Oryctolagus cuniculus: one gene and its partners. The protein of the gene in region 2 interacts with the protein of the main gene of each other region in a pairwise test. Links are inferred from orthologs where the notes say so. Each region holds a gene or a part of one and is shown on either strand. Other genes may lie near its edges.

Region 1 (7,858 bases), on a different chromosome or scaffold from region 2:
TGACATAATCTGTGGGCCATACAAAATAATCAACTTGGAAACAATTAGCTTGTTATAGATACACCAAACTAAGTCCTGCTGGGGTTGCCTTGTCAGGGCCAGACCAGATGAATCAGCAGGCCAAACACTCACCACCCATTTCACAGGCCATACAGCAGTAACGGGGAACAGACGTGTTCCCGTAAAAACTAACAGGTACTTGCAAAAGCCCTCATCACTCTCCTGCTTTGAGGGATGCACTAAACAGCCACTCCCACGACCACACCCGGCAGCCATCCCATCTTCTCATCTCTAGCTTCCTTCAGGTGGTCAATAAACAGAAAGCAGTCATCCCTGAGCATCCAAGTGAAAACCCAGAAATCAACACACATCTTACCGTTTTAGCCAGTGTGCAGGCGAGCTCCGGGTTATTAAGGATCTCATAGTAAAATACAGAAAAGTTCAGAGCCAGCCCCAGGCGGATTGGGTGTGTGGGTTGCATCTCTTTCTTGCTTATATCAAATGCCTCTTGGTAAGCTCCTTGGGAATTATCTATCGTTTCTGTGAAGAGAAAAAAATAAAAGGCATGATCCTTTGGAAAACAGCCAGAGACCAGCACATGAGTAATTTTAACATGCTACTAGCTCCTGGCAGAGCCAGATGTTTCTGTTATCTTCCTCTGAAACCACAGTAGCAAGCTACAAACATTTATCCTGTCTTGGATATTTAAAACTAGCTCATAGTGTTGCTTGCTTATAGTCAGCTTACAGACAGTATATAGATTCTTCCATCAATGATATTAAAACTGTTTTCTTTTTCCTAGCTTTTAGATCACATTACAAAGATCACCATCACAAGAACCCCTCTATTTTTGTGACATTATTTGTGCAAACAGACGCTCTGGGTATTACGATGCTCTGGGTGAGGCAATATAAAGTGCCAATAATACAGCAAAATCTGCTTTGAGTAGCCTCCCTCAAAAAATGCTCAGGAGGGGCCAGTGCTGTGGCGCAGTGTAAAGCCACCACCTGCAGTGCTGGCATCCCATATGGGCGCTGGTTCGAGTCCTGGCTGCTCCACTTCTGATCCTGCTCTCTGCAATGGCCTGGGAGGGCAGTGGAGGATGACCCAAGTCCTTGGGCTCCTGTGCCCGAGTGGGAGACCCAGAAGAGGCTGTGGGCTCCTGGCTTCGGATCGGCTCAGCTCAGGCTATTGTGGCCATTTGGGGAGTGAACCAGCGGATAAAACACCTCTCTCTCTGTCTCTCCTTCTCTCTGTCTGTAACTATGACTGTCAAATAAATAAATTAAAAAAAAAATAATTAGGAAGCATTACCAACATGAACTTGATTATATTTGTTTTGAAAGGGTTTGTTTTCTATTTAAGGCCGTGGATCTACCCCAGCTTTTTTGAAGACAATGACATAGCAGAAATTAAGCAACCCCTTTATGACTTGACTGTGCACTTTCCCTCCTCTGAAACGGCATCATTGTTGATCTAATCACAACTCCCACAGTAAGTGGCTCTTGCTGTGGGCATCTAAGGAGGGACTACACAGAGCAGAAGCGGTCAGCTCAGCTGGAAAGACAGCTGATGGCACCCGAGGGACTGAAAGCAGGAGCTCAGAGTGCCCACGAGACAGAGGGCCGAGGTCGGCCTCAAGCCAGGAATGTCCTAGTAAGACGTCCTCTGCCTCGCTGGCACTTACACGCTCAGTTCTGTGCCAGTATTTTCACTTCCAACTCTGCTTACCTTTGTGGCAACAAAAACTCTCTATCAGTAACAGTAAATTTGTACACAAATGTTAGAGCAAGTACAGTGGTTTCCTCTTTATGGCTTCAGTCGCACTGGTATCTACTTGTGCAGCTATGTTACTGGATGGGGGCAGAACTGAGAACCAAGAACACCACAAATTCACTGGGGAAAACAATCAGAATTTCAGCAACACTTCCACCTAGAACTTGACAAATCTACTAACAGGCACATACACAAAACTTAGGATCTGTACTATGCTCAGCTCCTAATAACCCAGGAGACTTAAGTTTACTATAAATAAACTTTGATGTTCCCATAATCAAATCAGGTGATTCAATTATTCCCCCATTACATTTTCTGTAACAGTCTAAGGGTTAAAAAAAGGTATTTAATATTCAAATCTAGGGGCTGGTGCTGTGGTGTAGTGGGTAAAGCTGCTGCCAGCAGTGCTGGCATCACACATGGACGCCGGTTCAAGTCCTGGCTGCTCCACTTCCTAACCAGCTCTCTGCTGTGGCCTGGGAAAGAAGTAGAAGATGGCCCAAGTCCTTGGGCCCCTGCACCCACGTGGGAGACCTGGAAGAAGCTCCTGGATCCTGGCTTTGGATCAGCACAGATCCGGTCAGTGCAGCCAATTGGGAGAGTGAACCAGTAGATGGAAGACCTCTCTCCCTGCCTCTCTTTCTCTCTCTGTGTAACTTTCAAGTAAAATAAATAAATCTTTAAAAAAATTCAAATCTTTTTATATGACTATTACTTATCAAAGAGGTCCTGTAAAGTAAGCCCTAGTCATGTGGGTCACTCAAGCTTACTGTGACCATGGAACAAATTATTCACCGTCCAGGCATGGTTTTTCCTAAAATGTATTTTACATGAAATCTGAGATCCCTTCCATAATTCCCTGTTTTCAGTATTAAAGTACTATAGGAAGTACTGCAACACCGGGGCTGGCGCCATGGTGCAGTACGTTAATTCTCCGCCTGCAGCGCTGCCATCCCATTTGGGTGCAAAGAGACAGAGGGAGATCTTCTACCCTCTGATACACTTCCCAAAGTCTGCAACAGCCAACGCTGGGCTAGGCTGAAGACAGAAGCTTTGAATTCAATGTAGATCTCCCATATTAGGTAGCAGGGACCAAAGTACTTAGGCTATCAACACTGCCTCCCAGGATATGCAACAGCAGGAAGCTAGAATTGGAAGTGGAGTCAAAACTTGAACCCAGGGCCTGGTGTTGTGGTGTAGCGGGTAAAGACACTGACTACAACACCAGCTCCCATGTGGGCACCAGTTTGCGTCCCAGCTGCTCCACTTCCAATCCAGCTCCCTGCTACTGGCCCGGGGAAAGCAGTGGAAGATGACCCAAGTACTTGGGCTCCTGTCACTCATGAGGGAGACCCAGATGAATCTCTTGGCTCCTTGCTTTGCCCTGGTCCAGGCCGTTGTAGCCATTTGGGGAGTGACCAGCGGACAGAAACCCTCTCTCTGTAACTGACTTTCAAGTAAATAAAAAAAATCTTAGAGAGAGGGAGAGAGGAAGAAGAAAAAGAAATCTAGAACCCTGGAACTCAGGCACTCCAGAACGGAATATGAGTGTCCCAAGCAGTATCCTAACCACTGTACCAAACATTTGTGCCTATTTTCATTTTTTAAAAAGATTTATTTGAAAGACAGAGTTACAGAGAGTGGGAGTGGGAGTGGGAGTGGGAGTGGGAGAGGGAGAGGGAGAGGGAGAGGGAGAGGGAGAGAGAGGTCTCCATCGCTGGTTCACTCCCCAGATGACCACAGCTGCTGCTGCTCGGCAAGGCTGGAGCCAGGAGCCAGGAGCCAGAAACCAGGAGCGTCTTCCAGGTCTCCCACGTGGCTGCAGAGGCCCAAGGACCTGGCCCATCTTCCACTGCTTTCCCAAGTGCACAGAGTACAAGTGAGTCAGCAGCTATGTGTTGCAGGTGGCAGCGTAAGCCCTTACGTCACAACGCTGGATCCCCTACTTTTATTTTTAGAAAATAAGATAAATATTCATTTTATTGATCCATATCATTCAGAGTTTTGTTTGTTTTCAAAGTTACAAGGAGTCTGGAGACTACAGAGCACTGGAACAGTGTCCCATTTACACCAACTGCCTTTTATTTATTTTGGCTTTAGCTGAAACCAAATATACCTACGTTTTCGATCATCTCCACATGCAACTTCAGCCAGGTACCGGAAGTAATCGCCCTTCATTTTCAGATAGAAGACTTTACTCTCTGGATTAGTTGCATTGGCTATCAAATACTTATCCAACAATTCCTGGAAAAAAAAAAGATAAAAAAATTAGGCGCTAATAAAAGCTATTTAATTACAGACAAGAATTTAGAATAATCTAACTTCTGCCTTCATGTAATAGAATCCTTAACCACAATAATCCTTCACCACGTCCGCCTGGCCTTGAAGCATGTCCTTACAGCAGTGTCAGCCTGTTGCCACCGTCTCCCTGGCACATTTTAAAGAAAGCTACATCACACAAAACAGTATCCTCACAAAGGGTCTCTCCATTCACTCACCTGGTCATTCAACAAACACTTACTGACATCTGCTGGGTGTCAGGTATTTGCTGACAGCAGACACAGAGAAGCCCTAAGAGCAGAGGCCTGCCCTCAAGAAGCTCAGCCTCTGTCCATACACCACTAACTGCATGCTAAGCACAGAGAAATACAGGAACAGGACAGGAGTGAGTAGCTAGCGCTGCTGGAGACGGCCTCTGGTTCAGGCTTCCAGGGGAACAGAGATCTGACTGTCAAGAATCGACAGCAGGAGCACTCGGGGCAGAGATCAGCCTGCGCAGAATCCAGCGTGAGAACAGAGAACTAAAGAGCTCACCAGCGCACTCTGCACCCGGATGTCCATGGAATCAAGGCGATCAGAGGGCAGAGCGTCAGCAGCTGACAGCACAGCAAGACAGAATAATTCTGTCTACTCAATCTAATCAATAAATTACGGTATTTCTGTATGTCTTTTATCAGTGACACCATACAATAAGCTGTGCACTTGAGGGGCCAGCATCGTGGCATAGTGGGTTAAAGCAGCCACTTGCGGTGCACGGAATCCCATATGGGTGCTAGCTTGTGTCCCGTCTGCTCCACTTCCAATCTAGCTCCCAGCAAATGGCTTGGGAAAAGCAGAAGATGGTCCAAGCGTTTGGGCTCCTGCCACCTACACAGGAGATCCAGACAAAGCTCATGGCTTCAGCCTGGCTCAGCCCTGGCTACTACAGCCATCTGGGGAGTGAATCAATAGATGGAAGACCTCTAACTCTGATTTTCACAAAAATAAATCAATCTTTAAAAAAAAAATAAAAATAAAAAAGGACATCTGATTCAATGAGATAGCACTTCTTAGTAAGTATTTATACTTGTAGAGGCATAGGAATATCTGAGTATAAAAAGTAACAAAAGGGGCCAGTGTTGTGGCGTAGCAGGTAAAGCCACCGCCTGTATTGCTGGCATCCAATACAGGTGCCGGTTCAAGTTCCAGCTGCTCCACTTCTGATCCTACTCTCTGCTATAGCCTGGGAAAGCAATAGAAGATGGCCCAAGTCCTTGGGCCCCTGCACCTGTGTGGGAGACCTGGAAGAAACTCCTGGCTCCTGCCTTTGGATCTGCCCAGCTCTGGCTGTTGCAGCCATGGGGGAGTGAACCAGCAGATGGAAGACTTTCTTTCTCTCTCTGCCTCTGGGTAACTCTGCCTTTCAAATAAATAAATAAGTCTGGAAAAAAAAAAAGTCACAAAAGACAAAAATGAAAAGGAAGGTTGTTTATAGATATAAAATAACAAAAGTTCAAAAATGTAGTTTTAAAATCTTCTTGTCAAAGACTTATTTATTTATTTATTTGAAAGTTACAGAAAGAGAAAGAGAGAGAGTGAGTCTTCCATCTGCTGGTTCACTCCTAAGATGGCTACTAAAGTCAGAACTGGGCCATCAGGAGCCAGGAAGGAGCTTCTTCCAGGTCTCCCAATTAGGTAGTAGGAAACTAAGTACTTGGGCCACCTCCACTGCTTTCCCCAGGACATTTGCAGGGAGCTGGACTGGAAGTGAGGAGCCAGGACTCAAAACAGGTGCCTATGTCCCCGAAAACGTAGTTTTAATCCAAGAACAATCTGTTTTTTTATCTGATTGAAACAAAAGGCAATTGTTGTATTTATAACTTATTTAAAGAAAATAAACATGGGTTGGTGCTGTGGCGCATCAAATTAATGCCCTGGCCTGAAGCACCGGCATCCCATATCGGGGCTGGTTCAAGTCCCGGCTGCTCCTCTTCCTATCCACCTCTCCGCTATGGCCTGGGACAGCAGTGGAAGATAGCCCAATTATTTGGGCCCCTGCACCCACGTGGGAGACCCGGAAGAAGCTCCTGGCTTCGGACTGACGCAGCTCCGGCTATTGCAGCCAATTGGGGAGTGAACCAGTGGATGGAAGACCTCTCTCTGTCTCTATGTCTCTCTGTAACTCTGTCTTTCAAATAAATAAAATAAATGAAAGAAAAGAAAAGAAAAGAAAAGAAAAGAAAAGAAAAGAAAAGAAAAGAAAAGAAAAGAAAAGAAAAGAAAAGAAAAGAAAAGGTGCAGGGCCCAAGTACTTGGGCCATCCTCCACTGCACTCCCGGGCCACAGCAGAGAGCTGGCCTGGAAGAGGGGCAACCGGGACAGAATCCGGCGCCCCGACTGGGACTATAACTAGTATGCCGGTGCCGCAGGCGGAGGATTAGCCTATCGAGCCACGGCGCCGGCCAACAAAATCTTTTTAAAAACAAAACATCCAGCATGCTAATTCTAAATGAATTATTGTTGCATATAACAATACTAACATCACTTCAATAGCTTTTCCAAAATAATTCATTTGGTAATATTCTATAGCAGCCAACAAACTAATTTTTTAATCTTGAATGCACTTAAAAATTGATATCTATTTTACAGTCAAAATAAGCTGCTCTTTCATTAAATAGCTTATTCTTTCATATTCAGAACTGATTTAAGAAACAGTAGATAACTGCATGTGATGGCTCAAGAAGCTGGGTCCCTGCCTGCCATGTGGGAGAGCAGACTGAGCTTTGGGCTCTTGGCTTAGGCCGGAACCAGTCCTGGGCTATTGAGAGCATCTGGGGGTGAACCAGCAGATGGAAGGAAGGCAGATCTCTCTCTTGCTTTGCCTTTCAAATAAATAAAACAAAAAGTAAAAGGTATAAAATAAATATGCAATCAACACAGTTAATCTCTAACTTTAGGTTATATGAGCCACTAACCACACATTTCTAAACTTAATCAGCACATTAATATATCCTAAAAGAGATCCTGTCTAGGAGAGATAAGGTCAAACTTAAGCTAGAGATTTACCTCTAATTGATAAAACTAAACGAGAGTATTTTGTGTTTTTCAGAATAAATGGGCTTTTGAAATTAATTACCATTTGTGAAACAGATTTTTTAAAAAGATCTATTTATGTATTTGTTTGAAAGTCAGAGTCAGAGAGAGAGAGAGAGAGCGAGAGAGAGCGCTCCTCCATCTGCTGGTTCACTCCCCAGATGGCTACAGGACTGGGCCGGGATGAAGCCAGGAGCCAGGAGCTTCATCCAGATCACCCATGTGGGTGCAGGGGCCCAAGCATGTGGGCCATCTTCTCTCTTCTGCTGCTTTCCCAGGCACATTAGAGAAAGCTCGATCAGAAGCAGAGCACGCAGGACTCGAACCAGGGCCCACATGGGATGCTGGTGTTGCAGGTGGGGGCTTAATACTACACCACAGAGTCAACACTGAAGTGCCTGTTTCTGTAATTATATAATAAGAATATCAGGAAAGGCCTTCTAGTCTCAGAAATCACCATTCTACTACGAGAACACCCACTAGGGTTAACTCCCACAATGCATTTGGATTTATTGCTTTAACCAAGGAGACAAGGAATCATCTAACTTGATCCCAAGTTGGTAACATCAATTCATTTAAGAAAATATTTTCTACCATTAATAACATGAATATACCAAACAACTAATTATCTTTGCATTATTTAAAAAAATGTTACAGAGAGAGCAGCTTGAACTTAGAACCCAAGAATGATGGCACTACATTCTGTTTTCTAAAAAACAGGAGGGAGTAA
Region 2 (7,858 bases):
AGCTCAGGGTTGTTCTCTGAGTTTCCTGTATGCAACAAATGCACGTTTTAGTGTAAGTAGGTTTTAAAACCACAAGGAGATACACTAGAAGAAGTATTCACTATTTTCCAGGAATTCCAACATAACTGGACATCTTGTGTTTTGACTGCTAAATCTGGCGATCAGTGCTTGGCTGGGCACAGAACCTCTCTTAATCTTTTTTACACAATTATTTCTTACTCTTTTCACACCAGTTATGTATTCTTTACTGGAACCCGAGCACCTTGAAGGCGAGGATTAAGCTTTGTTTTCCCCTGAATCTGCATCCTAACACAATGCCTGGAGCAAAGGCACAGGACTACCAATTCTCAGAAAGTCTGCTGGGGGCCCCCAGCTCTGTCTTTGCCCTCGAGTTAGTGAATTTTCTGGCCTTGGAGGGAGAGCCCTGTTGTGGGGTCTGCGATCTTATGGTCATACTAACGGAGTCGCCCCCTGAGCCTGTGTAGGAAGTGTGTTTGGGAGAGAGCGGGCACAGTACCTTGCACACGTCGCTCCACTGCCCGGGCCCATTGTCATTGATGGCTCTCACTTTGAACAGGTACTCGGTGTTGGGGGTCAGGTTGTGCAGTTCGAGGTTCTGCTGCATTATGTCACGAATCTGTCCACAGAGCTCTGTGCGCACGTTGTTAGGCGGGGTCGTAACGAGTTCGTAGAATTCCATCTCGAAAGAGTCCACGTCTTCTGTGGGGCACGTCCAGTAAACCTACAGAAGAAATGAATGCATCAGGTGACACCAGCCTGCCCTTGGCGGGAACACTGCTGCTGGCTGTCCTGTGGTGAGCTGGAGCTGACTCCGCCCCCTGTATGCGGGGGACTTTGAGCTAGGTCCTGTGCAACAGCCTTGGCAGGCTGTGTGATGAGGGCTGACGTGGTTCTTGTATCAGCTTTCAAGGACCAAAGAGTGCTGTGTGGCTGGCTGATGTTCTCCTGACACCACTAATGAAGCAGCTACTATTTATTGAAGACCAGATTCTGTCAGGAGCTGCCACCCCTACCTCATTTAGTCCTGGCAATGCCCTGGAAGATAGACTCTGTGTGATTCCATTTTGTAGGCCCAGAAAGATTAGTAGACTTTACTGGAAAAACAGAATACTAGAAGATGAGACGTTTACCTATTCCAACCCTTTATATTATACACAAGGAAATAGAATCCAGAGACATTAAAATGACTTTTCCGGCCTGTGCCGCGACTCACTAGGCTAATCCTCCGCGTGTGGCGCCGGCACACCAGGTTCTAGTCCCGGTCGGGGCGCCGGTTCTGTCCCAGTTGCTCCTCTTCCAGGCCAGCTCTCTGCTGTGGCCCGGGAGTGCAGTAGAGGATGGCCCAGGTCCTTGGGCTCTGCACCCCATGGGAGACCAGGAGAAGCACCTGGCTCCTGGCTTTGGATCAGTGTAGCGTGCTGGCTGCAACGCACTGGCCGTGGCGGACACTTGAGGGTGAACCAATGGAAAAGGGAGGACCTTTCTCTCTGTCTCTCTCTCTCACTGTCTAACTCTGCCTGTCAAAAAAAAAAAAAAAAAAAAAAAAAAAGACTTTTCCAATAATGGAGAATCTGTGTTCACTCTCAAAGCATAAAATACCAACTCCTGGGAAAAGACTCAAGTGTCAATCAGTAGGTGGTACCTGCCAAATCAATTTGTAAAGCAGCAGAAATGAACTTACTTTTTTTTTTTTTTTTTTGGTTATCAGAACAAACATACTCATCAATGACACACTTGGAAAATACAGAAAAAGTGTAAGGGAAAAAGTGAACATCACAAATAATCTCACAATCTAGTTAATTCATTATTATTTCCTTTTAATTTTGAAATACAAGCACAAATACATGTAATATGGATTATGTTGCTTCAAATATTGCTTTTTTCACTTACTATATTTTATATATTTTTCTATATCATTAAAAATTCAGTAAAGCACCATCTCTGAAAACTGCCCTATAAATAATTTAATCTTTATCTAGTCGAACATTTAGATTGTTTCTAATTTTATACTCAAATAAATGTGGCAACGAACACTTTCATGCACGAAAATTCATCTACATTTTTAATCATTTCCTTTGAAAGGGTTTCTAGAGTTAAAAAAACCTCTAGGATTTTTAACAAAACATATTAACAAATTATAAGATGAACTTTAAGAATATCACTGTGCACTTACTCCTCATGTAGGATCTCTGTCCTTAATGTGCTGTACATTGTGATTTAATGCTATAACTAGTACTCAAACAGTATTTTTCACTTTATGTTTCTGTGTGGGAGCAAACTGTTGAAATCTTTACTTAATATATGCTAAACTGATCTTCTGTATATAAAGAGAATTGAAACTGAATCTTGATGTGAATGGAAGGGGGGATGGAGAGGGAAAGGGGAGGGTTGCGGGTGGGAGGGAAGTTATGGAGGGGGGAGCCATTGCAATCCATAAGCTGTACTTTGGAAATTTATATTCATTAAATAAAAGTTAAAAAAAAAGAATATTTCTGATGCCAATGTTCTAAAGATTTGACAGAGATGTTAACAGAGATTTAATCTCCTGTGTGACACAACACTATGATGCCTGTGCAAAGTCCATTCTGTGGCCCTAAAATACGGATCAGTGATGGCTTCACAAGGACTGCCATTGTCTGGTGGCAGGTTTAGGTGATCTCTCTCTCCACTGCCACCCTTGCCTGGTTGTTCTATGGAAGCCCATTTCTGGAGCTTCCCTGGGGATGACCAATAGGTGGCGTGGGGTGACTGTTCCCCAAGCCCAGTTATGGAGCAGGGACCACCAGTACTTACACCGCAGGCTAAACTCCTGCCAATTTTGCAAGAGGTCTGAGTGAATGTGCAGGTGACACCCACTGCCTACCCAATGGCGCATACACTGTAGGTCTTGCTCATGCAGTAGCCCTTGGAGATGAGTTCGGCTGCTGAGTGATGGGCGTCCCTCCTGTGAAGGGTGGGGACTACCATGTCTCTAGGCCATGGGAGGCCATGTTACATAATGTTACATAATGTGGTCATTCTTAGTGTCAGTCATCCGAGAGGTCTTCAAAACCTCCATGGGAAATGGACATTATGAAAAAACTGCACAGATTTCAAATTTTTTTGCAGCAAAATAAACTTCAATCTTCTCATTTCTCTGTTTGAAGTCCCCTTGTACTTTTCCGTACTTCTGAGACATCATAATCTGCGTGTTGAAACTCACAATGGAATTTCAAAAACTTCATGGAAAATGGAATGAAAGATGTCTATTCTGTTGCAAAGTATTTTGAAATCCATGCATCGCTTTTTCATAATACATGTTTTATTTATTGATGCCTGGTCTGTGGCAGACCTTCACTTTCCTCCATTTAGATAACCCAATATTGCAGTATGGGCTGCAGATGGCAGCAGTGGCAACACCTGGACGCTTGTGAGAAACACAGTGGTATGTGTCAGGCCCCCCTGCAACCAGTGAAGCAGAGTCTGTGCTTTAACAACATCCCCGGGCACACGGGAGTGTTGAGAAGCCTTGGTTCAGATGTCAAGGAAGCCCAGAGTCTTTGAGAGTATCTCAGAGAATTGGGCAAGAGATGGGCTCAGCCACACAGGCTGGCCTGGGAGGTGCCTGTGATGAAGCTCAGGAGGAGGCAAGATACACCTCTGTCCAGTACTGAGTCACATATTCATCTCTTGCTTCCATGGGGCTTAATAAAGTATCCTACAAGCATATTTGAAAGGCACGTGACGCTTGTCCATGTTGGGTTGAGGGTGTCATTCCCATGAGGCCCACTGGTGGCAGTTGTAGAGATCTGTGAGACACCCCACTCTCTAGCCCCACCCCCGCTCTGCAAACAAGGATAGATCTCAGGAGATAAGAACTGGCATTCCGTTGGTGATTATTCTTCCAATAAGATTATTAGATTTTTCAATATTGGAATATCCAGTATTCTTCTAATAAGAATAATCAATAACAACAATGATAGTTTCTTTAGGAAAGGCAGCCAATTTGAAATACCCAAGTTCATGGGCAAAGGGGCCTGCATTCCTGATTCCCATTTCTGTGCCCTGTAACAGACCATCCCTCAGGTAATACCACCTTCTGCCAGCCGTCGCCTTAAACTACTCTGGTTCCCAACAGGAGTTCTCTGTCAGTAGAGAAACTGCCTGGGAGTGGGGGTCAGGCTCTCAGTTTTATTTCCGGCCATGCTTTAAATATACCTTGACTCTTTGGTTTAAGCCAACCTTGGGTTATTTAAGATTTCAGAACTCAATCCTTTTGAACAGGCTGACCCCCAAAGACACGAGAGAAGCAGGTCTGAGTAGCCAGAACCCAGAGGTCAAACAACCTCCCCTGCTTACCCACCTCCACTCTGGACCCCACAACCTCCCACCTTCCCCACAGGGCCCAGAGCCTTTTTTTTTTTTTTTTTTTTTTTTTTACCTTAGCGGCTCTTGGATACACCAGAGTCTGGTAGATAACAATTGGGCCTGGGGTTTTCACAGAGGTGTCGTTGAACGAGTACCAGTTGTGGAAGCTGTTGCAGTTCTGTGCAGGCTGGCTGTCGGCTGTGGCACTCCAGTAGGTGTACAGCCCATCGGGGGGCTTGGCAGGCGCGGCCGACTGGGTCCTCCCGTAGGCCTCCAGACCCCCCTTGGCCTTCTCACCAGCGGCGCTGAAGGACAGCAAGGAGGAGCTCCGCTGGTATATCTGTTGGTTGCCGAAGCTGTGGGTGCTGAACGTGACCTTCCTGGCGATCATCATCTCCGAGTGCATGGGGTAGGGGGTGGGCAGTGAGTCTCCGGAGGAACACACCTTCTTGGGTCCCGTGGGGAAGAGCTCGTGAATGGCGCTGGAGAGCTCGGCGAAGTCCAAGGGCATGCAGTGCATGGAGTGCAGCCGCAGGTGTGGGTCGGGCCGGTAGGTGCTCTGGATGCCGTCCTCGATCTGGTCCACCAGGATCTTGGCCGACTGTAAGAAGGCCACTTGGCCCGTCTCCTTCAGGGCTTCCTTGGAGTAGGCTATCAGGCCATCCATCTCGTTCACCTTCAGGGTGGTGACGTGGACGTACTTCTCGATCTCCTTCTGCCTGGACACTTCTAGATTCTCGATCTGCTCCATGATGCTCTTCTCTTTCTCCTGCAGAATGCTGCGCAGCTTCAGAAACCCGCTTCTGATCTCTTTCCGCTTTGCCTCCTTATCCGCTTTAAAACTGTTTTTCAGAATGTTGAACTCCATGAGGTCATTATCGATTTCATATCGGACTGCAAAACAACCAAGTTGCTTACTGTTAGAAGCTTCCTCTCCCCAGATGCCAAAGCCACAGCAAACCCTTAAACGGCACTGGCCTCCGAGGGAGTGAGTGGACGGAGGGCAGGCACCCCCAGCTGGGCTGAACGTGGCCTCCCTCAGAACGCCCCTCCCTCTCACCTCCCCCAGGTGTCAGGAGCCGTCCTCCCTGACCTAGCCCCAGCTGGTGAAGGCAATCCCTCTGGTTCCTGCCACACTTGCCCTGTCTGCAGGCTGGACTTGAGAAGAGGCAAAGTCATCTAGGCCAGGGCCCTGTTTTTCCTGCAGGAAGGTGGGCTTTTGCAGTGGTGGAAGACAGAAGTACATTACTGATGACCCCTTCTACATGCTGCCTTGCCTCATTCACCCAGAATCCAGCCTCAGACAGCAGTGGGAAATCGGCAAAGTGTTCCCTCATGGGGGCCCTCTTGCACACCCGTGGTCCTGCATAGCAGCCTTTGTCTCTCTCGTGGTCAGCGCTGTTCCCTCTCCTGTCTTTTCGCCTCTCCCTTTCAAGAAAGCGTCTGCAGTCACACTCCACGGGGAACCAATCCATCCTGCACCCTGTCCCATGGCACTTCAATTTTAAGTTCACACAGTTAGTCATTCAGCAAACATTCCCCAGAGCCGTGCTGCACACCGCAGGCCTTTCCGGGCACTAGGAATACAGACATGAGTATGAAGTGTACTTATGCTCAAGGCACTCACAAACCCAACCATACGATGGCTGGAGGGTGCTGTTGCAGGGTGAGCCTGTGGCACGTCTCTGTGAGATGAACACTGTTGTTAGGGCCTAACTAGCAAGTGGGAGCATGCCAGCCATCTTTCACCTATACTACAGGAAAGCCCTCCCCCGCATAAGAGGCCAACACCACAGTGCATTGGTTCTGATCTCCATCAAAAAAAGGAGTGGCAGGTGCCTGTGTATTTTTGTACTTGGTTCTAAACAACATCCTGGGTCACAGGAGCCTGGATTGCTGTGGGTGGTGAGCATCTGAGTCAGAGAAACCCTACAGCCAGACCATGAGGAGAGGGACCCCAGTGCCTTGGGCTATCCTCACGACCAGAGTGGCTAGAGGGGATCCAAAGGCGTTTGCTGAGAGAAAGACGTTCTTTCCTGTTTTCTGATTTCTCCATGTGAACAGCAGCAGCGCCATTGTCTGGCCTCTCCCTGTAGCCTCCAATTCCTTCCTCACATGGCCCAGAAAGGAAGAAGCAGAGTAAGGACTGGAGAGGAGACTCCTAGGCTGTGATTCCGCAGTGCTGAGAGGCATCCTCGCCTTTCCCAAATGCTAGCCTGACTGTGGCTGATGGCAACAGAAATCCCACTTCATGCAGTAACTTCCTTGCTATTCAAGAGGTGCCCTCTGCCAAGGATACTTGCACAAGAAATTCCTGACTGTATTAGGCATTAGTGAATTTGGGTAAGGCAAAGGCCCGGGGTGGGGTGGGGGTGTAGGATGGAGATTTCTTAAAGGAGGTGAAAGGGACTATGCGAGGAGAGGGGGAATGCAAGAGGAAGGCTCTCAGAGACATCTCTACCCACAAACCTGATGAACAGGACAGCTTTGCTGGAGCTGACCTTAGCGCAAGATCTAATCAAGGTCTCCTTCAGGCCTTCTGAAACCTGTGAGGATGTTTCAAAAAGCTCACAGAAACGTGGAATGCAAAGGTGTGTTTATTTTGGTGCCAAGAATTAAAATCATGCATAGTTTTTCATAACATGCATTTCCATGATCTTTTTGAAGACCTGTTATACAGCTAAAATTAGAAACTAGAAATTATTTAGTAAGCATTTATTATGAACAAGACCCATATATTAGATTATGGGCCAAATGTATATACAGGTCTTATGTTACATATATACCTTCCGTAGAAGACATTGTTCCCATTGATGGATGAGGGAACTCTGGCTCAGCCAGTCACACAGCAGGTAAAGGGGAGGAGGAAGAAGCCCTGTCCATGCTCCTCATTGCTCCCGCCATGGTGAGATAAGCCATGCGCGCGGGGCGGCCAGTGCCAGGTGCAGCGCCAGGCCAACCACCCACCCCAGCCCGGCGCTTGCCGGAGTTCCCGCGGCGCCACCTAGTGGCTCTCACGAAACAGACCGCCCCAACCGCCTTGCCCGGGGTGGGGGTGGGAGTCGGGGAGGTGAGGTGGGGCGGGAACCAGCAGGACCTGCTTTGAACTTGGCGATGGCGCTGAAGAGCGCGGCCGCCCTCTCCGAGCAGGCGTCGATGAGGCCGACGGTGTCATGGCCGCTGTGGAAGGCGATCTTGCAGAAGGTGCAGAGTAGCTCATTGTCGTTGCGGCAGTACTCGTTGATGCGGCTGGACGGGTGGTGGATGCAGACCTTCTCGTCCTGGTCCTCGGGGCTGGTGTCCACGAAGACGTGGTCCTGCATGGCCACGTCTGAGTGGAAGGCCTTGAGGCATTCGTTGCACAGGTTGAGGCGACAGGTGATGCAGCGCTTGTAGGCGATGCGCCGTTTGCGGCAGACCTGGCAGAGGATGGGCCCGGAGGAGCGGTCGAAGCGCCACTTGAGGTAGCCGTGCTGCTGCATGTAGCGCT
Region 3 (8,538 bases), on a different chromosome or scaffold from region 2:
TTTCATGCAGTATTGTTTACTATAAGGCACCAAATTTAACTAAGAAAATCACCAATTTCTGAAAGAAATCATAAATCTAAATGCAGGAAGACCTAGAAGTTAGAAAAAACAAGTATGTTGAATATTGCTTTAAATTTCAGAGGTAGCATATTTATTTCTTATAGTATATGGAGAAATACAGCAAGCTTTATTGTGAAAGCATCAGTTAGTGTTACGTGAAAATAGCAGCATTTAAAAAATCTGGTAAAGTATGAAACAATAACTGAATGGTATGCATAAGCCATAGCAAAATTGTTCCTTAAATTTTATAATGAGTAATTCCCTGAGAAAGGCAATTCCTTAGTTTCAAGAAATAGAATAGCTCATATACCACATAAATTACTCCTGGGCATTTAGCATATTTGGATATATTTTTAAAATTCTTTATTTCAGAAGGGCCAAAGTACATAGCTGTTACTCCTTGAAAAATGTAGCAGAAATAATGTTTATAATATGCTTAATAATATTTGTAAAACAAATTCCAGCTTCAACTTAGTGATCCACAGCTAAATTCAAATGTTTTGGCCGTATGCTACCAAGGCAAGTTTATCTATCAGGTAAAATGCAAAGTAGAATTTCATTATATTTAGTCTTAAACATTTTAATTCCCATCACGCTACATGTTGCAAATGTCCATGGCAACTTTTGAAAGAATCATCATGAATATCACAATAAAATTTACCTGTCAACTTTTTAGATTGTTTGATATAAGTTCTACTATCCTTTGAACCAGATAGTCCTAATTTGCTTTGTATAAAGATATTTGCCTTTACTGTTGAATTTCATTTCATTTTGGCAAAGGTAATGATGGATTCACACATTATCAAGTTTAAAGAGCCCAGTACATCCATAAAATAATTTTGATTGTGTGCCCTACAAGACCTGATTAACATTTTCATATTATCAACCTCTTTTTAATGTGATCCTGGGTATGAAATCCTTGCATAAAGCACTTTTTTTTTTCAGAAAAACCAAGAATATAGTAAATACAGAATAACTACTAGACCACACATACTGTTATATAGAAATTTTATAACCAATTTTGTAGTTTGCATTATTCTTCTTGAAATAACTAGATAAAAATGGCATCTTTCAACATCAAATTTTATATATGCAAACATCGAATTAACTATTCTGGGAAATGCTAGGTTTTTTTTTTTTTTCCCTGTCATTATTACATTTTTTAAGAAAAAAATTTTTCATGGCCTAGAAAATAAAAATCAATATATCTGTTTTTATTCCAAATATTCTTAAAGGATGAAAATGTAAAACATGGTATGGAATAATTCATATATTTTTCGAAACTCAGAGAAAAATAAGGAAGTCATATTAAATTCTAGACTGCAGTAAGAAGACGATCTTTGATTTCTTTCTTCTTTGAGTCACACTCTTTCTCCTCCCAAATACATTTTCCTTGTATTATGCTTTATGTTAAGAGATCTGAACTGCGGTATTTCTACCCAGGGTAAGCGTGCTGGGTCTTCCCTTTATTTAAAGGACCTGTCTCCCTAGCTTCACCTCAGCTGCATGCCTGGGGGAGCGCCTCCTCCTTACTCCAACAGTTTTGAATTTTCCTTCCCAGGTTTCTGGCCTCGCGGTGCCCAAAGCCAACTGCAGCAGGTTGTGGAGAGATCGCTGGACCTGTTAGCATCCGACGTAGCGAGGGGGAGGCAGCCAGCCTGGGGCGCTGCGCAGGTTCCCGGCCGTGCGCTCGTTGCACCACGCAGCTTCCCCTGCGCGCAGGCACGCGCGGCTTTGCAGCTGCTGAACAAACGCGAGGAAAACCCGAAGGACGTTTCTGGGTGCTTTGCCCCACGTCTGCGGGTCGGGTGGCATTCTAGGTCCCTCTCGGCTGACATTTTCCACCAGGCTTCTGGTGGCCAGCGTCCCTATCAAACCCACGTGTCTGGTTACCTTCATGGACGTGCTTGCCTCAATTCCACTTTGGAAAAAAAAAAAAAAAAAAAAAAAAAAAGTCTTGCTCCTTGCACCCACAACCCAGAGAGTAGCTAAGGGTGTTGGGGGTAGTTTGTGTTGCTCTTTGTACTTCAAGTTCCCTACCGGAGCACGCAGTGGAGCCATCAACACAATGGAAATTCAAAGAAGATTCCGAAGGTTTTGGAGGAAGAGACCCCCCTCCACCTCCCCTTTATTATTGCTATTATTATTTTTTTAATAAAGCCCCAAGAGTGGAGGGAGTGGCAGGAAGGAATATCATTAAGCTCTGAGTCTTGGATGCCTCCCTGCGAGCGCGAACACCCCCAGAAACGTGCAACCCGCAGAAGACCCCCTCTGGAAGTCTGGAACCGCAGGAGATGCCGAAACGCGGGCGCAGAAAACCTTACCGTCCACGGCGTGCGGCCGCTTCCAGCTCAGACCCAGACTGGAAGGCTGAGCCGCCGCTCAACAAAAGCTTTAGTTTTTTTTTTTTTTTTTAAACGAAGTCTGCAAAACTAATTTCCCTCCAAATAGGGCTCCATTTCCGTTCAAGCCAGCAGTGCTCACACGTCTCCCAATTCCCCATCAAACCCCCGCTGCACCCCACCTCCAGGCCGCGGAAACGGATTCCATCTTTCCCGCGGATGCCAGGGTTCTCGCCAAGCTGCGGCGCTGCGGCTCCCCTCCAAAGGACCGCGGGGACGGGCAGGGGCCCGAGGGTCCTGCCCGTCCGTCGGGGACACCGCCCAGAGATGGCTCAGTACTCGCCCCTAATTCGAACCAGATGTCCAGCCCCGTCTGCTGTGCCCATTAATCTCAGGAACAACTTCAAAGACCTGGTCCCCATCCTCGGGACACCTGAGACAATGAAAATAACGGGGCAACACCGCTGGTGGCACGGCCGGGAGCAGTGAGGGCACGCGCGCTCCTGACGGCACCGGCCCAGCTGGGAGCCGGCTGCCCCGCGGCCCGGTGCGCCCCCGGGACAGAGCCAGCGGCCCGCATGCGCTCAGGGACTCCAAACTTATGCTTTCCTGTTTGCGGGATGCAAACCCGAAACGCCCAAGCGCCGATGGCACGCATCAGAGTGTTCGGTTTCCCAATCAGTGGCACCATAGCGCAGTGAGGAGGAGTGTGTGGAAGGAGCTGGTTTGTGTGGGAGCGGGAGAGAGGCGGTGGGGTTCTGGAGGAAAATCAAGGGCCCTGGGTTGCCTCCTGGGGGAGGAGGGGGCGAGGCTGGGAGCACGCGTGCAAATCCGCACGTGGCATGTGACAGGGACAAACTCTCTTCAGAATCTTCCCGGCCCAGGACAGCTTGCTCTAGATGGACTGGTGGCTGGGAAATGGAGTGGGACCAGTTTCGCTGTGACGGTCAGGGGGCGGGACGCCAAGGCAGGGCACCAGTAGGCGGCTCACGTCGGGATGCCTGGGCGCGGGCTTCCGCGCACTTTCCGCCGGCTCACCGCACCCAGTCCCGGTCCATTCGGTCTCGAGCGCTGCCCACTTGCGGGTCGCGCTGCGCAACTCCGCACCTGGACCCTACCCCAGAGCCCGGTGCCCGGCCGGCGCACACACCTCGGCGGCAAAAAGCCGGGCGCGCCTTGTGCCCCGGGGCGCACGCAGCGAGCGAAGTCTGAGAAACTTCTCGCAGCGTGCGCTAGACTTGGCTCTGCTCTGCCCTTTTCAGCCGCGCTCACTCCCCCAGGGGTTGGGCGCACCCCTAAGCTTTCCTGCGGGTGACAGTTTCCAAATGGCACTGACAAGTCATGGTGCGCGGGTAGGGGCTGGGGGGTGGGTGCGGAGCCGGGACTGGCGGGATCCCGGCGCCTGGTGCGCGGCTTGCAGCCCGGGGCTGCTGGCAGGGCCGGGCGGGCGGGGACACGCGGAAGGACTGTCCAGCCGGCAGTGGGAAGCGGGGCTGGGAGCGCGGGGCGCAGACTGAGCGGGCGCGCTGGAGGAGCTCGCATGTGGTCAGCGCCAGGCTCCTAAGCCAGCCCCCGGCTCACGTTACACTCTATTTATAACCTCCCAGAGCCCTTCCTCCCCCCCCCACCCCACCCCCCAGGCGTATAGTTCTCTGGGACCACCTTCTTTTGGCTTCGACCGCTCCCACTCTTGACATCCGAGTCGCTCGGAGGGAAGCTCCTCTGGGTCCCAGTGTTTATATGTGAAGGAGACCGGCCCGAGGGTTTAGGACAGGGATTACACGAGCGCTGCCGGAAAGCCCGCGCGGCTCTGGCCTGGGGACACAGGGGCGGCGTAGGGTGCGGGGGAAGCCACACGATTGCCACGGAGAAGCGCCCGCAGGCTGGTGGTGCCAGCGTTGGTGCGGTCGTCTTGAAGTCTTCCCGCCTGGAGCCCGCGACTTGCATGCTATGGAACACCCGCTCTTTGGCTGCCTGCGCAGCCCGCACGCCACGGCGCAAGGCTTGCACCCGTTCTCTCAGTCGTCGCTCGCCCTGCACGGGAGATCCGACCACATGTCCTACCCGGAGCTCTCCACTTCGTCGTCCTCGTGCATCATCGCGGGATACCCCAACGAAGAGGGCATGTTCGCCAGCCAGCACCACCGGGGCCACCACCACCACCACCATCACCACCACCACCACCACCAGCAGCAACAGCACCAGGCGCTGCAAACCAACTGGCACCTCCCGCAGATGTCCTCCCCGCCCAGCGCGGCGCGCCACAGCCTCTGCCTGCAGCCGGACTCCGGAGGGCCCCCGGAACTGGGCAGCAGCCCGCCGGTCCTGTGCTCCAACTCCTCCAGCCTGGGCTCCAGCACCCCGACTGGGGCCGCTTGCGCGCCGGGGGACTACGGTCGTCAGACGCTGTCACCCGCGGAGGTGGAGAAGCGAAGCGGGGGCAAGAGGAAAAGCGACAGCTCAGGTAAGGTGCGCGCCAAGGACCCTCGGCCGGAGTGCAGACGCAGCTGGGTCGGGCCAGGGCGGCAGTTTGCAAGCGCTGGAGGCTGCAGCGGGGCACAGCAAAAGCTGGGGCAGTGTCCAGCCCGCGCAGGTTTGGGAGATGCGGCTGTGGTCCCAGTTACTTGGGGGGGCGAGGGGAGTGTTACCCTTGTGCGCAACCTACACGCAGCCAGCAGCGGCAGCTCTAGGCTTCCCAAGGTCCCAAACTACTTCTCCAGAAGTTTGAGACCAAAGGGGAGCGAGTGACAGTTTGTGAAATCGATTGCGCGGCGTGACGGCCGGGCGCGGCGCCGGGAGGGGCGTGCGCCTGGGGATGCGTGTCCGTGGGGCGGGCGTGCGGGTGCGGCTCCCGGACTTCTGCCTCGCATGTTCCCGACTCCGAATGGCTCGCTTTTTCCCATCGTTAACTGGCTTTCCAAATCGTTGCACAATATTTGGAACCTTGGAATGGAACTTGGCAGAGCGTATGAGAAAAAAAAAAAGTTTTAGGTTATTTATTTATTTATTCTGGATTTCAGGATTCCTTAAATAGCAACCTATTCTAAATGGTAAATGCTTCCCTTTCTTGGGAAAGGAAGATAGTGTCTAAGAAGTTTTTTTTTTTTTTTTTTTTTTTTTTTTAAGGAGCATGTCAGAAATTTTTAAACAAATAGATGACGAAAAGTATTGGAGAAAGACGATTGTTAGGAGTAGTTAGTAGTATTCGTATGATACCAATGCAAAGGGAGAATCGAAGAGGTTTCAGGGTGGAAGATCAACTCCTCTCTCAATGAGTGCAATACGACAAAAACTGGGAATCCAAGGGCAGGTCCAGTGCTGTCTGCTCAAAGTGATACGCGCAACGGGGCACCCACCAGGCGTTCGTCTGCGTGCCCGGAACCTAACAGCCCTGGGAGCGCCGGAACGCGCAGCTTGCCCGGGAAATCTAACCACAGAGGCAGGTCTGCAAAGCCCTTACCTGCCTGCATTGTGATGAAATTGTTCAGAGGATTTTTCACTGAAGGGGAGTTGTGACCCTGGGTTCCTTCGTGTTTTAGGAAGATGTCATTTGCGCAATAGAACACTTAGCGTGTGTTTCTTTTGCGAAATTGATGTCTATAGTCCCAGAAGATAATCTCAGCCGTGGGTTGAAAGAGTTGGCAGATGTCTATCTCCTGTAAAGCTTTAGGCCACATAAAGGACGCAGATGGAAATGAGCGTTGGAATTGCTTTGCAGCGATGCTACCGATCTTTCTTCAGTTTAGCCTGCGCTGGATTTCTTTCGACTTTTACTTTCCAGGGTCAGGGGTGGACCATTAATGCCCCATCACAAATTAGTTAATATCTAAGAAAGTTACTAGCGATGTCACTCATTTTTAATGGGTTTTACTAACTACAAATGAAACTCTCTTAAGACCAGTTGAAAGGTTAATCCCAGCAAGAAGGTTTTCATCTTCATTATTTAAAGATAAATAAATAAACAAGGGCCAGTTTTAGACAGCAATGGCCCTTGCACAGACTGGGCGCTGGATATCAGTGTTGGTGTGGAAGCGGTGGCAGTTCAGGCGGTTCGGGCTGATGAGAACATCCTTCTAGAACTAGAAGCTCTGAGTGAGCGGCCCTTCTCACTCTCCGCGGGAGAAGCCGGATGATGGGCTCCCTCCTCAGGCGTCCTGACTCAGCCCAGTACCCCTGAGTGTCTTAGGGCAAATCCGAATTTCATAGGGCAAGTGTGATTTTGTTTGGGACAGATAGAGAAAGTGGAATACAAGAACTGATGCCCACGAATTGTTTCAATGAAACTTAAAAAAAAAAAAAATTGGCCTCCTTTAATGCTCCTTAGCTCCTCTCTCATGGATGAGAAATTAGCCATATAACAAAGTAAAATTCATTTTTACATGTTGAAGCTGATATTTAGGGTCCATGAAAAGCAAGTTTGTGTCAGCCGCATAAAGTATTGATAGATTACAGCTTGAGTGGGAAATACACTCAGCCATCACCAAGGATAAAATCATTGGGGACTTTAGATGAGGGTTTTCTTTGATGGTACGTTCTGGAAGAATGTTTGACTAAAAGGAAACATCACAACAGTTTCTGGCTCGATCTATTTATGGCATAATTATTGAAATTAAACTTAATTGGCCAGTTTTAACCTCTGAGTTAATATTGACTAGACATTTAGGTAGATTTAAGTTTAAGATGTCTTTCTCCTATATTGCATTTGGTTTTCCATAATTTATGTTAGAATTTATTTTACTCCTTAGTGTTATAAGGACTTCTCAACATAGCAGAAACTGAAGCAACAGTAGAAATAATTCTTATTCTGGCCTATTCTTATCATGCATATTAACATTATAACTCTTGCTTTATAACACAGTTTTAATACTGCAATATTTCTAAAACCTAAAATGGAGTTGATTTCTGAACTCTGAAAAGTTGAAATTGTGTTAAGTGAAATGCAGATCATGCATCGTGGAGATCATGTGCATTTGGTCATACAGTTTATAATCACTGTGTAGTTATAGTGGAGAATGAACGCGATGCATACAACCATGGCGAAGTCCAAACACGGCGAAGTCCAAACGCCTGCATCTAACACCAAACTGTACTTGTAGTGTTTGTGACAATGCTAAATTCTAACAGAATTTAGATCACTAGAAAATATTGAAAAGCGGCCCAAATATTTATAAACCACGCATCTGTATCCATAGTAATGATGCTAAAAGTACAGTGTGTAACATTTCCCAGTATGGATATGCATTTCCCCTTCACAAACACACATGAACACACACATGTACAAATCATGGAAGCTTAGGGGTTTAGAAGCAAATATTTATGGACTTTAGGCCTCCATTATAGTTTATTGACAATTGAAAATAACCAAGTTTAATAGGAAAGTACACCATTATTTTTTATATGTGTTAACATTTTTGTAACTTTGAACCCGCTATGCTTTCTAGCATTATTAGCAAGCCAACATCTGCTACGTCTTCAAAGGGACTCTTAAAAATTGAAAGTTTACAATGGTGCTTAAGACAATCAATACAAAGCAGGTGATTCTGAGCAATGTCTATAAATAGTGTCAATTGCTTGGCTTCAATTACATTTGATTGTTCTCCAAGTAGTGTAGGAACAGGGTATAAACTGCCCACTTTCAGTTAAAATAACTAAAATTGATTAATCGATGTAATGCCAGTTTTTTTGTGGGGGACATACAATATATATTGTAAATATATTCTTTCAAATTAGTGAATATAAGTTTGTATTTCCTAAAAGTCAGAACTTAATCCAAAACAGGGCATGATTTGGAGACATGAATTTTATTAGACGTTGCATTATATTAGATTCTTGTAAAATGGCAAATATTTTATTTATAGCTACCAACTCATAAAACATTTGTTGTGGAACAGTGTTTGTCTATATGCTTGGCATTGCAGAATGACAAGTACACACTGCACTTAATAAACTGAAAGTTAAACCCAAAGTTACATCTTACTCAAGCTAATTGTGCATCATATTGTAATTTTTCCTAGATATTCCATGACTGTGTTATATTATTCATTTCTGTGTTACTGAATTGTGTCTTTTTAGTAGTTGCTTTAGAGTAGAAGAAAATACTCTGTTGGATCTCAAAGATTAAGGAGAATGTTGAACA
Region 4 (7,858 bases), on a different chromosome or scaffold from region 2:
ACCTTTCTCCTGAACAGAGAGTAAAGGTTCTGAAGACACTCTTTTCAGACAGTCCCCTCTGGCAGACATGTCTGCTGAATTTATAGCCTGTGCTGATTGAGTACGGCTTAAGCTGCCTTTGACAGGCTCCGAAGTGACCGCTGGTATTTCTTCATTCTACAAAAACACAATAAACAAAGGTGCCACTGTTTCTGTGCTATCCTTTATCCCTCTTGCTAAAAATCTAACTGAAATGAAGTTCCAGAGCTTTATATCGCCCATTTAACTGCACTAACTTTTAATTCTAAATTCTTGGCTAGTAAATGATTTTTGCCAGTACTTAGTACTAGACATCAAACTGACTATGTTACAAAGAGGTTTAAAAGCAGTTACATTAATATAGTTGTATCTGTAAGAAACTGAAGAAACTAAAATAAACATGAAGGCCTTTCAAAAAGTTCACATAAAATGCTTATTATAAAAAATTATACGTTTCAAAACTTTTTGCACCAAAATAAACATTTTGTAATTCCATTTCCTATGAACTTTTTGCAGTCTTCTCATATAGTGTTTTACATATTCTAAGAGACTAAAAATTCTGAAATTAAAAGTTTTCTGACATATAGGTGACCTAAAATTGTGATAATAAATCTTTTACACATAAGGTTTCAGCATAAAATAAAAGGTCAGAGATAAAATCCTATTAAGTGAAAAGATTAAAAGAACTTAAGTAGAGTCTAGTATTTGAAATTTTAATACAATACTATACAGCAGTCAAAAACAACGAAACCCGGTCATTTGCAACAAGATGGAGGAATTTGGAAAACATCATGCTGAGTGAATTAAGTCAGTCCCAAAGGGACAAATATCATATGTTCTCCCTGATTGGCGACAACTAATTGAGCACCAAAGGGGAAACTTGTTGAAGTGAAATGGACACTGTGAGAAACAGTGACTTGATCAGCTCTTGTCCTGACGGTTGATGTACAATGTAATACTTTATCCATTTTAGTATTTTTTTTTGTTCTAGTACCATTGGTTGAACTCTGTAATTAACACACAATTATTCTTAGGTGTTTAAATTTTAACTGAAAAGTGATCCCTGTTAGGAATTTGGAAAACAGTATGTTGAGTGAAATAAGCCAATCCCAAAGGGACAAATACCACTTGTTCTCCTTGATAGGTGACAACTAACTGAGCACCAAAAAGGAAACCTGTTAAAGGGAAATGAACACTATGAGAAATGGTGACTTGATCAGCCCTCACCCTGACTGTTGATGAGCAACTTAATATGTTATCCCTCTTAGTATTTTTTTTGTTTGTTCTACTTAATACTTTTGGTTGAATACTGTAATCAATACACAATTCTTCTTAAGTGCTGAAACAACTGAAAAGTGATCGCTGTTAAATATAAGAGTGGGAATAAGAGAGGGAAGAGATGTGCAATTCGGGACATGCTCAAGCTGACTTACTTCAAACAGTAGAGTTGGAAACATACCAGGGGATTCGAATTCAATCCCATCAAGGTGGCATGTACCAATGCCATCTCACCAGTCCCAGTGATCAATTTCTGTTCACAATTGATCGTAATGATAGGACTAAGAACCAAAGGGATCACATAAACAAGAATAGTGTCTGCAAATACTAGCTGATAGAATCAAAAAGGGAGAGAATGGTCCAACATGGGAAGTGAGATACACAGCAGATCCATAGAATGGCAAATGTCCTAACAGCACTCTGGCCTCATAATCAGCCCTTAAGGCATGCGGATCCGGCTGAAATGCCCATGAGAGTATTTCAGGCATGGAAAGCCAAGACACTCTGGGGGAAAAAAAAAAACCTAAATGAAAGATCTCCACGAGTGAGATCCCAGTGGAAAGAATGGGTCATCAAAGAAGGAGGTACCTTTCTCTGAAGGGAGGAGAGAACTTCCACTTTGACCATGGCCTTGTCTAAAAATTATCAGAGTCAGTGAACTCAGGGGGCTTCCATAGCCTTGGCAGCTCATGACAAGAGCCTAGGGTGATTACTGATACCATAAACAAGAGTGTCAATTTGTTAAGTGAACAACAGGAGTCACTGTGCACTTACTCCTCATGTAGGATCTTTGTCCTTAGTGTGCTGTACATTGAGATTTAATGCTATAACTAGTACTCAAATAGTATTTTTCACTTTATGTTTCTGTGCAGGAGCAAACTGTTGAAATCTTTACTTAATGTATGCTAAACTGATCTTCTGTATATAAAGAGAATCGAAAATGAATCTTGACATGAATGGAAGGGGAGAGGGAGTGGGAAAGGGGAGGGGTGCGGGTTGGAGGGACGTTATGGGGGGGAAGTTATTGTAATCAATATTCTGTACTTTGGAAATTTATATTCATTAAATAAAAGTTAAAAAAAATCAAAAAAAAAAGAAATTTTAAAAGTGAATATTTACTTGGTGCTAAAACCATGACAAGCTTTTCTCACCCCTTACCTGTTGTGGGCTGAGCTCACTGGGGGATTGAGATTCTCCCATTACCACAGGGAAAACAAAAGGTTTGTTTTTAACACATGGTAATGAACTCCAGGAAGACTCCTTTAGGTCTTCTTTTAAGTTTTCAGGTGATAACAAATCACACAAAATCTGTAAGAGAAATATTACAAAAGTAGTAGAAAATGTGAAATTTTGGGTTAAGGATAATTTAATATAAATTTACCTAAGAGGGATTTTGAGATTGCTTGGTGGGGCTGGAGTGGTGGCACAGCAGGTTAAACAACCACCTGCAACACCAGCATCCCATAGGAGACCGGTTTGAGTCCCAGCTGCGTTACTTCTGATCCAGCTCCTTGCTAATGCACCTGGGAAAGCAGCAGAGGGTGGCCCAAGTGCTTGGGCCTGTGCACCCATGTGGGCGACCTAGAAAAGGCTCCTGGATCTTGGCTTTGGGAGTGAACCAGTGGATGGAAGACCTCTCTGTTCCTTCTCTCTCCCCAACTCTGTAACTATGCCTTTCGATTAAATAAAAATAAATCTTAAACAAAAGATTTTTAAGATTTTTTTCTAGACATTATTTTAATAAGCAGAGGAGAAGAACTGGTTAGGTAATAAAACAAATTAAAAATTTTTATGAAACCAAAGTATACCTCAATGGGGATCAAATAACCTCAAAGAAATGATTCAAGACTTTGAAGGGAACCAGGGACTGGTTAGGTGACTGAGAAGGTAACTGAGGAAAAGGCAGACCTTTTAATACAAGGATTATAAGAAGAAGGATCTTATGTGATGTCAAAAAGGTTCATCTCTGAATATCTGTGAGCCATATCCTAGTCAAAACAGTTCATGGCTCATAGCAATGCAGATTTTAAAGTTGGAATTAGACTACTTATGTGAACTAGAGAACCTGGACCTCTAACTATAGAATTCTGAAATTCCCTATACTTACATTAGCTTCTCACTGACAACTAACCTATGCGGCAATCACCACATAGCAGCTGCTCTGTAACAGTAGGAGTTTAACTAGGCCACAGCTGCGGAATCACAATTTCTGGATGTCTAAATCAGAAATAAATCTGAACTCTCAAAGAGAAGGGGCAAGTTAACATGGGGGAAGACCCTGGCTAGAAAGACTATGAGAAAGGTTCTGATCTTTTTCTGGCTGTCAAACAAGCTGCAGAGCATTTCGTAATGTCTAAATTTGGAGGTCTCATTTTTCAGCTGTATACTCTCTCAAATACACAAGAATCAGAGTAATTCACAAATCATTATGAAAGGAAATATACACAACAGAAATAAAATTGTACAAATAAACAAATATTTAATATTTATTTATTTTACATTTCCTTTGATGTCAAAAAAAAAATGTCAAACACAAACCTACCCTATAACCCTGCAACTCCACTCCTAGGAATTTACCAAAGAGATGTAAAAACACATGTGCACAAAATTAATTGTACAGGAATGTTCATAACAGCTTTATTCAAAATTATTTTAAAAACAAAACAAAATAATCCAGACACAAATCACTACTAACTGAATACCACATCATGGTCTGTTCATATAATGAAATATACAGTCACTAACAAAAAGAAAAAAATTACAGGATGTATTTTTAAAATAGTTAAGCAAAAAGAAGAAAGCCACAGACAAAAAGAGTACACACTAGATGATCCCATTCATATCTCTAGAATAGGAAAACTACTCTATGGTGATAGAAATGTAACAGTAGTTTCCTCTGGGAGCAAGATGATGGAAGATTTACTGGGAAGGAGATGAAAGCATGCTTTAGGGTGACAGAAACATCCTTTATTTTGACTGGAATGCTATTAACACAAGTACATTCATTTTCTCAAAACTCAACAAACTATATAGAATCTATGTGTTTTATTACATGTAAATTATACCACAATTTACAAAAAGCATATGGAGAAAAACAAAATATTGTAAAGCATCTTTGCTGGGATCTGAGAAAAATGTTCTCCTATTTTAAGGTACATATGGATCTCTTGGAATGCTTATTATGATGCCTCCATTCCAGAGATGATGATTCCAAAGGCCTATGACTAGGGGAATGTTCAACATGCACTCCAGGCAATTTTGACAAAAACCCAGAAACACGACCAAGGTGACAAATCACATGGCCTGTTTTGAGAAGATTGAGGAGAGCACCAGCACAGGGAACCTGAACTTTTATTAGGGTTGATTTTCTCAAAGAATTTTTTTTTCAAGATTTATTTATTTGAAAGGCAGAGTTAGAGAGAGAGAAAGAGAGAGAGGTCTTCTATCCACTGGTTCATTCCCCAAATGGCCACAACAGCCAGGGCTGGGCCAGGCCAAAGCCAGGAGCCTGGAGCTCCATCCAGGCCTCCTATGTAGGTGGCAGAGGCCCAAGGACTTGGGCCATCTTCTGCTGGTTTCCCAGGGGCATCAGCAGGGAACTGGATCAGAAGTGGAGCAGCCGGGACTCGAACCTGCATCCATAAGGGATACCCGTGAAGCAGGTGATGGTTTATCCCGCTACGCCACAGCGTCGGCCCTCAAAGAATTTTTTAAAGACTACTCTCACTAGATGATCTGTGCTGAAGGCTATTTTTTTTTCATGCTAGCATATCAAAAGGCCCTAAAAAGTTCTGAAGAAACTTGTTAAATTTGTATTAACCAAATATTTCCCAAAGTCATTTGATCAGAAACCCCTCTTCCCTCTTCTTTTTTCTTCTCTTTAATTAACACCTACTAACACACCACAGGCAGCACACATGTTAGAAAATGATATATGGAGCATTAAGAAAAATAAGGCAAAACAAGTTGGGGCAATACTATTGGCAGCATGGAAAGAAAGCCAAGCTCAGAGCCCAAGCCAAAGACACAGGCCAGGTTAATAGAGTCCTGAGCAGAACATCAGGACAGCAGTTTTTAATTAAAAACCTCAGTCTGGTGTGGACTGGATAAATTATTAGGGAATGTCTAAATTAACTAAGCAAAAATATTGCACCAAAATATCTGTGAATGAAATGTTCTGATTTCATCCAATAACTTAATACACTAAGCATTCAAACATGAAAACCTCTCAAATTGCTCTGAAGTTAGATTATTCACTTATAGTAACTTTCCAATTAGTATTTTAAAAAAAGATCTGTGTTTTAGCCCTGCCTGGAAACATTATGGTTGGTAAACTGATTACCTTTTCTACTTGCAGCTTTGCAGGTGCAAAATCTTCATCAAGGGCTAAGCACTGAAGAAACAGCTGTAAGGCATCACCTAAGAAGCCAGCATCATGGAGTACCTTTCCTTTCCTGAAGTAAACCTTCAATGGAAGCACACAAACAAAACCTTTATGGATGAAACTGATTTTCAGGAAAATCATTATCAAGAAAAGAAAAACAAATAACATGCTCAAAAATGCTGATTTTGGAATTAAATAACCTTGAGGAGGTCAAAGCCTAATCATAAACATAATCTGTTTACTTATTTTCCTTTTTATTTAACTGCAAAGGCACATCTACCCATTACCCTGGAGAAGCACCATCAGGGAAACTGAGGCCCAGACAACGACCCGACCAAAGTTCCACAGCAAGTCAGGGCTCAGCAAGACCATAAACACTATGTTCCCTCCCCTTAAAAAAACTGCTTATTTAATGATTATTGATTTAATAATAATTGTTTGAGGGAGCAAAAGAAATACAATACAGAATTATACTTATTTTAAGATGCATCAAAATTTTTCCTTTATTTTTTATTTTTTATTATAGGAATTCAACATGCTCCATGACAAAAACTGGAACCTTATTTAGATCACTGATAAACAAAAATTCAGTGTGTGAGTCAGTCTACCAATAAAGTGTCAACTGGCAAGCTTTAAATGTGCCTAGTCTACAGAATTTGAATGGAGAGGTTTACAAACCACAGAGTTGTGTTAAATAACATCAGAGAGGCCTAAAATATATTCTTGTCAAATAGTAATTTTAGCTACCATTTAAATAACTGAAGAAAATCACATTTCTGGTATCACTTCAATAGTAAGTCTCGAAGTTTCTTTCCTTTTAAACAGTTTTAAAACTATACACACAAACCACTGCAGTTTCATTCTTAATACATATGTGACTGTATCAACAGTCACATCATCATGGGATTGTTGTATCCATTTCCTTATTAATTTATAATTTTTAAGGCATCCTTATTACACTGTCCTTAATGGCACAGCTCTGAGTTATAGGAAAAAAACACATAAAATAACTTCTAGCTTAAACAACACACATGGGAGGGAGACAGATTGCCTTTGCAGTTAAATAAAAAGGAAAATTAGTAAACAGATTATGTTATACACATTTCTTTAGTTCTTTTTAAAACTGCCTAATCACCCCCTTGCTATTATAATGACAATTTTCCAGCCTCAAAGATTTACCTTTTTCCATAATTAACCTCCTTGATCCAAACTTCCTAGTCCAGACTGTATCTGCCTTCACAAAATGGCAAGTTATTTCTTTGCTGAAAATTTTTTTCTTTTTTTTTAAATTTTATTTAAGGTATACATATTTCATATATTTCCTATATACAGATGCAGGAATATAATGATACTTCCCACTCTATTTTCCCTCCCAACCACACTCCCACCCTCCTCCATCTCCTATTTCCATTCTTAATTTTTATGAAGATCTATTTTCAGTTAACTTTATACTCATAAGATTAACCCTACACTAAGTAAAAAGTTCAACAACTGATATGAAGAAAAAAAAAACCACTGTTTCTCAACAGTCCAGACAAGGGCTATTAAAAATCATGGAATCTCAGATCGGTGCCATGGCTCACTAGGCTAATCCTCTGCCTGCAGCACCGGCACCTTGGGTTCTAGTCCCGGTTGGGGTGCCAGGTACTACTAGTCCCACTTCCTCCTCTTCCAGTCCAGCTCTCTGCTGTGGCCCAGGAAGGCAGTGGAGAATGGCCCAAGTGCTTGGGCCCTGCACCCGCATGGGAGTCCAGGAGGAGGCGCCTGGCTCCTGGCTTCAGATCGGTGCAGCAAGCCAGCCATGGCAGCCACTTGGGGGGTGAACCAATGGAAGGAAGATCTTTCTCTCTCTCTCTCTCTCTCTCTCACCAACTCTGCCTGTCAAAAAAAAAAAAAAAAATCATGGAATCTCAAAATGTCAATTTCACACCCACAGATTACCTTTTAGGTAGTCTGTTGAAAAATTTTAATGCCTCTCTTGTTTTTCCTGTGCCATGAATTCAGTGTGTTCCTCAGTTTGACACAATGGTTTCTTCTAATTCAAAAAATTGTCAGATTATATCATCCATTTAAGAACTGACTCCAGATTTCTAGAATGTTATGATTTTTGCTTAAAGCAAAATATCTGTTTTGCTAAAACTTATAACCATAATTGAATGCATGTTCCCAACAGGTGAA

What was found.
Region 1: the proteins of TRIM42 (region 2) and YWHAQ interact in binary tests that used the Homo sapiens proteins (3 or more experiments, as listed by UniProt). The two-hybrid records come from large-scale screens. The link is inferred for Oryctolagus cuniculus from reciprocal best matches to the Homo sapiens genes TRIM42 and YWHAQ.
Region 3: the proteins of TRIM42 (region 2) and MEOX2 interact in binary tests that used the Homo sapiens proteins (3 or more experiments, as listed by UniProt). The two-hybrid records come from large-scale screens. The link is inferred for Oryctolagus cuniculus from reciprocal best matches to the Homo sapiens genes TRIM42 and MEOX2.
Region 4: the proteins of TRIM42 (region 2) and LONRF1 interact in binary tests that used the Homo sapiens proteins (3 or more experiments, as listed by UniProt). The two-hybrid records come from large-scale screens. The link is inferred for Oryctolagus cuniculus from reciprocal best matches to the Homo sapiens genes TRIM42 and LONRF1.

The regions. Positions count from the first base shown.
Region 1 is NC_091433.1:192,531,737-192,539,594, reverse strand, and holds part of YWHAQ (14-3-3 protein theta), read right to left. Parts: intron 4,021-7,858; coding exon 3,897-4,020; intron 541-3,896; coding exon 377-540; intron 1-376. UniProt on the Homo sapiens protein: Adapter protein implicated in the regulation of a large spectrum of both general and specialized signaling pathways. Binds to a large number of partners, usually by recognition of a phosphoserine or phosphothreonine motif.
Region 2 is NC_091435.1:141,095,670-141,103,527, forward strand, and holds part of TRIM42 (tripartite motif-containing protein 42), read right to left. Parts: coding exon 7,466-7,858; intron 5,263-7,465; coding exon 4,442-5,262; intron 743-4,441; coding exon 518-742; intron 26-517; coding exon 1-25.
Region 3 is NC_091447.1:7,287,902-7,296,439, reverse strand, and holds the start of MEOX2 (homeobox protein MOX-2), read left to right. Parts: upstream 1-4,064; 5' UTR 4,065-4,352; coding exon 4,353-4,866; intron 4,867-8,538. UniProt on the Homo sapiens protein: Mesodermal transcription factor that plays a key role in somitogenesis and somitogenesis and limb muscle differentiation. Required during limb development for normal appendicular muscle formation and for the normal regulation of myogenic genes.
Region 4 is NC_091433.1:78,005,012-78,012,869, reverse strand, and holds part of LONRF1 (LON peptidase N-terminal domain and RING finger protein 1), read right to left. Parts: intron 5,762-7,858; coding exon 5,639-5,761; intron 2,605-5,638; coding exon 2,455-2,604; intron 157-2,454; coding exon 1-156.